Saccharomyces cerevisiae S288C: one gene and its partner. The protein of the gene in region 1 purifies or fractionates together with the protein of each later gene. This does not show direct contact. Each region holds a gene or a part of one and is shown on either strand. Other genes may lie near its edges.

The links.
Region 2: the proteins of TAF3 (region 1) and TAF13 purify together in Saccharomyces cerevisiae (affinity purification with mass spectrometry; 5 studies listed by BioGRID). This does not show direct contact.

Annotation. Positions count from the first base shown.
Region 1 is NC_001148.4:533,142-538,841, reverse strand, and holds TAF3 (Taf3p), read left to right. Parts: upstream 1-4,138; coding exon 4,139-5,200; downstream 5,201-5,700. Other genes in the region: RQC2 (Rqc2p), read left to right, coding at 1-3,022; RET3 (coatomer subunit zeta), read right to left, coding at 3,255-3,824; mRNA-binding protein RRP12, read right to left, coding at 5,433-5,700. UniProt on the Saccharomyces cerevisiae protein: Functions as a component of the DNA-binding general transcription factor complex TFIID. Binding of TFIID to a promoter (with or without TATA element) is the initial step in pre-initiation complex (PIC) formation.
Region 2 is NC_001145.3:75,275-78,270, forward strand, and holds TAF13 (Taf13p), read left to right. Parts: upstream 1-1,992; coding exon 1,993-2,496; downstream 2,497-2,996. Other genes in the region: ARG81 (Arg81p), read right to left, coding at 1-1,766. UniProt on the Saccharomyces cerevisiae protein: Functions as a component of the DNA-binding general transcription factor complex TFIID. Binding of TFIID to a promoter (with or without TATA element) is the initial step in pre-initiation complex (PIC) formation.

The DNA of each region.
Region 1 (5,700 bases):
TGCCGATTCCTCAAAACAATTTTTGCTGAAATTTAATAAACCAGATTCTAAACTCAATGTTGTTGTCGATTGTGGCTTAAGAATTTACTTAACTGAATTTAGTAGGCCAATACCTCCAACTCCTTCCGGCTTTGTTGTCAAACTAAGGAAGCATCTTAAAGCTAAACGGTTAACAGCTTTAAAGCAAGTAGACCAGGATAGAATTCTTGTTCTACAATTTGCTGATGGCCACTTCTATTTAGTTTTGGAATTTTTCAGTGCAGGGAATGTCATTCTTCTAGATGAGAACAGAAGAATTATGGCTTTGCAAAGAGTCGTTCTAGAGCATGAAAATAAGGTCGGACAAATTTATGAAATGTTTGACGAATCACTTTTTACCACAAATAACGAGTCTGCTGATGAATCCATAGAAAAAAACAGAAAGGCAGAATACACCTCTGAACTAGTCAACGAGTGGATAAAAGCAGTTCAAGCCAAGTATGAATCAGACATTACTGTTATTAAGCAACTTAACATTCAAGGGAAGGAGGGCGCTAAAAAAAAAAAAGTGAAAGTACCTTCCATCCATAAACTGCTGCTTTCGAAAGTCCCTCATTTGTCTTCAGATTTATTATCAAAGAACCTTAAGGTATTCAATATCGACCCTTCAGAGTCTTGTTTAAATCTTTTGGAGGAAACAGACTCACTCGCCGAATTGCTAAACAGTACTCAGTTAGAATATAATCAACTTTTAACTACCACCGATAGAAAGGGTTACATTTTGGCCAAAAGAAATGAAAATTATATCTCTGAAAAAGATACTGCCGATTTGGAATTTATTTATGATACATTCCATCCCTTTAAGCCATATATAAATGGGGGAGACACTGACTCTTCTTGTATCATTGAAGTTGAAGGTCCTTACAATAGGACGCTAGACAAATTTTTCTCAACAATAGAATCCTCTAAGTATGCTCTACGTATACAAAATCAGGAATCGCAAGCGCAAAAGAAAATCGATGATGCTCGTGCCGAAAATGATAGAAAAATACAAGCTTTATTAGACGTCCAAGAACTAAATGAAAGGAAAGGCCATCTCATAATTGAAAATGCACCCTTAATAGAGGAAGTTAAGCTTGCTGTTCAGGGTCTAATCGATCAACAAATGGACTGGAACACTATTGAGAAACTAATTAAAAGTGAACAAAAAAAAGGCAACAGAATTGCTCAGCTTTTGAACTTGCCTTTGAACTTGAAACAGAACAAAATTAGCGTCAAGCTTGATCTCTCTAGCAAGGAACTCAACACTTCTTCAGACGAGGACAATGAATCAGAAGGCAATACTACTGATAGTTCTAGTGACTCAGACTCAGAAGACATGGAGAGTTCGAAGGAGAGGAGTACAAAAAGTATGAAAAGAAAATCTAATGAAAAGATAAACGTTACAATTGACCTTGGTTTATCAGCTTATGCCAATGCCACTGAATATTTCAATATCAAAAAAACAAGTGCTCAAAAGCAGAAAAAAGTCGAAAAGAATGTCGGCAAGGCTATGAAGAATATTGAAGTCAAAATTGATCAACAATTGAAAAAAAAGCTAAAAGATTCTCACAGTGTCTTAAAAAAGATCCGCACTCCTTACTTTTTTGAAAAATATAGTTGGTTTATTTCAAGTGAAGGATTTTTGGTCATGATGGGTAAAAGTCCGGCTGAGACAGATCAAATCTATTCAAAATATATTGAAGATGATGATATTTATATGTCCAATAGTTTTAACTCTCATGTATGGATCAAAAATCCAGAAAAAACAGAAGTTCCACCGAACACTTTGATGCAAGCGGGTATACTATGCATGTCCTCAAGCGAGGCTTGGTCGAAGAAGATATCTTCTTCTCCATGGTGGTGCTTTGCAAAGAATGTTAGTAAATTCGATGGCTCTGATAACTCCATTCTGCCAGAAGGTGCCTTTCGGTTGAAAAATGAGAATGATCAAAACCATTTACCCCCTGCTCAACTTGTGATGGGTTTTGGATTTTTATGGAAAGTGAAAACCAGTGGAAATGAGGATAATGGTGATGATGACGAAGAAGAAGAAGAAGAAGAAGAGGAAGAAGAAGAAGAAGAAGAAGAAGAAGAAGAAGAAGAAGAAGAAGAAAAAGAAGAAGAAGAAAAAGAAGAAGAGCAACAGCAAGATGAAGACGATAGTAACGAGGTCAATGGGTTAGAGAAGGGTGGAGATTCAAACGATAGCACGAAAAACAACAGTTTTGAACACGATAATCTTGAAAAAGACATCGAAAAGCATTGCACCATATCATCCGATACCGACTCTGATTCTGGAAATGCTAAAGCCAAAAATGACAATAGCAGTACGCAGCGTATCCTTGATGAACCAGGTGTTCCGATATCTTTAATCGAAAACATAAACAGTAACGTCCGTGGTAAAAGAGGAAAATTGAAGAAAATTCAAAAGAAATACGCCGACCAGGATGAAACTGAACGTCTCTTGCGTTTGGAGGCCTTGGGTACTTTGAAGGGTATCGAAAAGCAGCAACAAAGGAAGAAAGAAGAAATAATGAAGCGAGAAGTTAGAGAAGATAGAAAGAATAAACGCGAGAAACAAAGAAGACTACAGGCTTTAAAATTCACCAAAAAAGAGAAAGCAAGAGTGAACTATGATAAACACAAGTCCGAATTAAAACCATCTCTCGATAAGGGCGATGTGGTTGATGATATTATACCAGTATTTGCCCCCTGGCCTGCGCTTTTGAAATATAAATACAAAGTCAAAATACAACCGGGAAGTGCGAAGAAAACTAAGACTTTAACTGAAATTTTACATTATTTCAAGAGTAGACCACTAGACGGTTCTTCAACTGACAACGAAATGGATTGGCCCCAAGAACATGAAATGATTAAAGGCTTGAAGGAACAGGACTTGGTTCTTCTGCTCTGTGTCGACAAGTTAAAAGTAACAATCGCTGGGCAGAAATCCACCAAGAACGGTGGTAACTCTTCGAAGAAGGGCAAAAAAAAACGCTAAATCATATGAGATGAAAAGAAAATAGACAGCAATTATAATTTTTTCATTATTTTTCATCACAGACCAACGAGAAGAATAAAATGATTAGCATGAGGTGACAATCATTTCTAAATGAGCAACATATACTTATATATATAAGTAGATACATATATATGGAAGGGAGAAAGTAAGACACTGCATATATACCATATAAGACCAGCTAAAATTTTCTTCTATCCGCTTTGCCTTGTGATCATAAGCCTTGCTGTAACCTTTCTTGAAACTTGCTCTTTGCGAAACCCCACGCGCCTAAGAAACCCTTATCCAAATCTAATGCCATTTGGGGTTCGTTCGTAGGTGGTTTAGAAACTCTGGATGCAATAGTGTTAGAGTCAGTTTCGAGGATAACACCATTATCAATGGTTTCATCAATAGCTAATAAAACCATATCATAGTTTTCTTGGATGTTTTTTTTGTCCATTCCTGAGTTCAAAATCAAATCCAAAGCTCCTCTGATTGCTGAAAATCCTTGCTGAAGAACAATTTCATTCTCTTCCAGCGAAGCAACTAAATATATCGTGATATCAATGTATTCTTTGTAAAGGACTAAATGATCCTCGAAGATTAAAATCTCCGAATCTTGCTTGTGAGTCTTACGGTATAGTTGTTTCTCAAACTCTTTTTGCTTCTTCACCGAATTGAAGAGCAATTGGTGTCCTTCATCAGATCTATGAGGAGGTTGATAATACTTTGCATAAATTCGTTCTCCTTGCTGATCTAGTATTAAAACAGCCTGAACAGTATATAGCGATAAAGAAGACATCCTGGAACAATGATGCACAGTACTCAAAATTAGCAAGCCAGCTCACAAACAAAACCTAAATGCCTAAAGAACTTCTGTCTAGCAATAACTTCGATATTCCACACCTTGTAGCCTAAACAATGCAAACGTGTTTTTTCACTTGACAGAAGTGGCGAAACGGGTAAGCTCGCGATGCTTTAGTTTTTTTTTTCAGTAATTTCATATTGCATGATGAAGGTATGCTAATATAACACTTGAAGTAGCTTCCTGAGCAATTCCAAATCACCTACTAGCGGAAAACAGCGATATCTTTGGGTCAATAGAGTTCCTCTGCTATGACTACAAATAATGACTTCTATTTTGCTCTACTACGCATATCTATTCTCCAATTATTGAAGGCACAAGGATTTGACAGGGCAAGGCCCAGTCTGGTGGATGTCATGACCGATCTCTATGCAAAATTCTTGAGTTTGTTAGCATCAGAGGTCAGTTCTATCGCTCAGGCAAGATGTGATCAGGACGATACAATTGCTTTACAAGATATAACTCTGGCTCTGGAAAATCTAGGTATTGTTAAGCCTACGAACGTTCTGGATGTCTATGATGAAAACTCCGAATTATCAAGTTCACGAGGAATGGAAAAGTTCAAGGACTGGTGTATTTATAGTACTCAATTGACCGACGCGCGAATAACTGCCTTACCCACAGTAGAATTACTACAAAGTGAGGAAAAAGAATCTGATCCTTTGTCAGCAATACCTGACTATCTCAATCAATTACTGCAAAACAAGGGTGCGAAACAGAAATTAGAAACAAAGAATAGAAAAACAGAGTTGATAGAAGATCTAATAAATAATAATGGATTAGATGATTGGATCAAATTAGTCATTGCTAGACAACGTATAAACATGATTGAAAGAGCTTCCAAAAAAGAATCTCAAAATGTACCGGCTTTACCACATATTGCAGGCTATAAATCTTCCATTCTAAGCCGCCATCACCACACTACCATAACAAACGAAGATAGGATGCCTTCGGCGATGACCCCAAGAGATGAGGATGCCTTAACAGAGATCCAAGAAAATCCATTTGTAACTAGCAAACTGCCGATAATGAGAAAAGAAAATAGGTTAGAAAATATAACTCTTTCATTTGAGGATGAGGAGCTTGAATCACTTGGCGAAGTGGAAGGCCCTAACCAAAAGTCTCAAGAAAATAACAATGAGGAAAGTTTTAAAGAGAACAATAAAAGTTTAACAGAGTCTCCTCATGGTGATGACCGTGACATATCAATGTTTCAATTCGACTCAAATGTTGATACTAAATGGGCAGAGCAGGAAGATATGGACAGCACATTTCAACGTCGAACCTCACTAGATTATGGGGGTTACTTTTAAAACGACATTTCTGCATTTTCTTTCGTCATTATCTCATCCATATTTAATTAACCTCACATTATTACTATATAGTGTACTTTCGCTTCTTCAAGATAATAAGCAATTAAACGCCCGATTCATTTTTTTCTTTATTTTAATCATTTTTAATATACAGTATTATAATATTCTTATATATACATATCTGATTTTTTCTCCAGGTGTGTAATTAGCCATATTGCTCAGTTTCAATCTTCTATAATTTTTTTCTAGATTTGAACTTTGGACCTTTCTTATTATGTTTGCCAATCTTGTTACCTTGATTTACTCTTCCTCTCATTAGCCTACTATCCTTTTCACCATCATCATCATCGCCAAATTCATCAGAGTCCTTTCCATTTTTCCTGAATTTCAGCTTGTTTCTTTGACCTCTTACAGGACCACTTTTCACAGCCTCTAGATACGCATTGATTCCGCTTGTCACAGCACTCAATGGATCGTCTACATTAGTAGAGGGTTTAGGT
Region 2 (2,996 bases), on another chromosome or scaffold:
GGTTTGTAATTATCATCTTCTTCACTTGGTAAAATAACAATTTCCTTTGCCCTGACTTTATCCAACGCAGTGCTATCTTGAATTAACTTCAGAAACGAGAAAATCCTGTGTAAGGTTTTTGTCTTTTCAGAAATATTAGGTCTTAGTTTCATTCTTGACTCAACGAAGTCTTCACAAAGAGCCAAGTGATCCTGGCAATCTGCCATCGTCCCCCATACAACATCAATAGAGTTCATAGATAAGATCGCAGTTAGTACGTCTTTATATTTCTCAGGTATGCTTGATTTTGTGTTCAAACATAATCTTAGAAAGTTCGAGGCTTGATTTCTCAATTCGATACCTAGGCCCAGAAAGTATTTTTGTAGTTTGTAGTTCCTTGGGTACTTGCTTTGCAAGTGGAAGCAAGAGACAGCAAGAAGAGCATTCAACAACGCATTCCTCGAGTTGGAGGATTGTCCCAAACCCGCTAAATCGCCTAATGCCATCAAGGCTCTGGGGAAGTATAATGTTTTCCATGGGTTCTTTTCGAGCACGACCACTGTCATTTTATCTGCAACATTATTAAAATAATGATTTAAAAGAAATCTCGCTAAACCATGTACGGTAAGGTCTGTTTTGGGTATAATATCTACCAATTCAGGTGGTAGGTCACTGGAATAGGATGTGAGTTCTAACATGGACTTAGGCATGCGTGATTCTTCATTTGGAGGAGCTAGAGTTATTTTATTCAGATCAGATGCGGGCAGAGATCTTGGTTCAATATTGACGAACACATCGTCGATCAATGCTTGAGGGTCTGGTTCCTCACTGTTCGAAGAGTTTTTCTGGAAGAGTAACTTCAAGTTTTGCTGGTAAAGTTTATCATTGGCACTGGCTGCTTTATTAGGTAAAGTTGATGAACCTTGATTATCAGCCTCAAAGGCACATCCATGTTCTTTGGCATTCACATGCTCTTCCCCACTCACGACATTAGAGTTTTCCTCTAATGAGATTTCTTGTGGCTGTGTGTGTCCTAAGTGATGTCCCTGTAAGGTCACCGCTGACAATAATGCATCATCTCTGAGTTCACTCGAGATCCATTCGTAACCTGTTATATTCAGATTGTTCCAGTCATAATCTAAAAGATTTGGTGTTGGTGGAACACCATCATTAGCAGAGAGAATACCTGTCTTTACATGCCCTTTATTTCTCAACTTGTCTTCAATATGTCTAATTGGAAAGGAAATAGTTGAAGAAGATGGTAAAGAAGATAACGAAATAGAAGCTGAGCTCTCCAAGCTTTTGGCAACTCTTTTCCTATTGCGCTTCTTCCTTGGAGCGTACTGCTTGTCGATCTTATCTGTTCCTTTAAACACCCCAAATTTCTTTATGATCCACGTCTTGTTATCGCTTATTTTCTCAATTGGGGGAGTATGCAGCATTGTTAGCTCATCATCCATATCTTCATGATACACGTATTCTTCATCATAGCGCACAAAATCGATGTTCCGTCGTTGGTATTGTGGTTCATCGACACTACCTGATAAGTTCGTAGTAGTTGCAGGAGAATTTTGTGGGATTGGGACACCGTACGGGTCAAATTGCATAGGCTTAGACCACCGGAGTTTGATATCATAACCGCCACAAGGCAAATTAGACTTTTCACATCGTTGGCAGTGGGGATGCCGAAGATCACACTTAACTTTTCTTCCTCTGCACGTCCAACACCCAGTAAACGTCTTTGCCCTTCCCATTTTTTTAGGGCCATTCTTGCTGGAAATTCCCATTATATCTGCAACTTAAAATTTTCGAGGTACTGATATCGGTAACTATTGCCCACTAAAGCATCAAATCTAAAAGAGATGCTTTTCGCAAGGTGTATTTTTTTTTCATTTATTTTTGAGTTCTAGCGGAAACCGCAGGCGAAGAGTCATTGATAACAAAGAAGGTTCATCAACAACTGCAACATGAAATCCAAAAGGTAACGGCAGGCGAGGGTGAGCTGGATAAGATATGTCTAGGAAGCTGAAAAAAACGAATCTGTTTAACAAGGATGTAAGTTCCTTGCTTTACGCTTACGGCGATGTGCCGCAGCCACTACAAGCTACTGTGCAGTGTTTGGATGAATTGGTATCTGGATATTTGGTGGATGTTTGTACTAACGCATTCCATACAGCCCAGAATTCTCAGCGCAATAAGCTCCGATTGGAAGATTTCAAGTTTGCCCTCCGTAAAGACCCGATAAAGCTTGGGAGAGCAGAAGAACTGATAGCTACTAATAAGTTGATTACGGAAGCTAAGAAGCAGTTCAATGAGACAGACAATCAAAATTCATTAAAGAGGTACAGAGAAGAGGATGAAGAGGGTGACGAGATGGAAGAGGATGAGGATGAGCAGCAGGTGACGGATGATGATGAGGAAGCAGCGGGCCGTAATAGCGCTAAACAATCAACAGATTCGAAGGCAACAAAGATTAGGAAGCAGGGGCCTAAAAACCTCAAGAAAACAAAAAAATGATATAGCTACTTGGCAGGCCCGTTTACGTAGGCTTGATTCAGATATACGTAGTACATATGTCCCTTTGATTTATTAATTAGGCGTTTGCTCTATAAAAGGGGTTTTGAGTTTGCGTTGGTGCTGAACAAAAACACTTGTCATTACAATGGCACAATTTTGAATGCATTGTTTTCTTATTTATATATTTTTCCAAGTAAAATCTTAGGATTCAACTGGTACATTTATTCTTTTAGATTCAAAAACCCTGCTACATTAGTAACGGCAAACTCCTCCCTCTGATAGTTGTGTTGCAATACTCAGCTGTCAGCATTGGATAGTTAAGATGTATTGTTAAGTCACCGCCTGAAACAGCAACTTAAGCTCCCTTCTGTGCTTAGGAAGGTACGTGCGCCTCCTAACCCATCTATTATTTGATTCTAAGTCACAACGAGCCTGTACTAACGAGTTTTAGAAGCGATCGTTATCAGTAAAAAATGTCTCCTGCGGTAAGTTATTTTTAC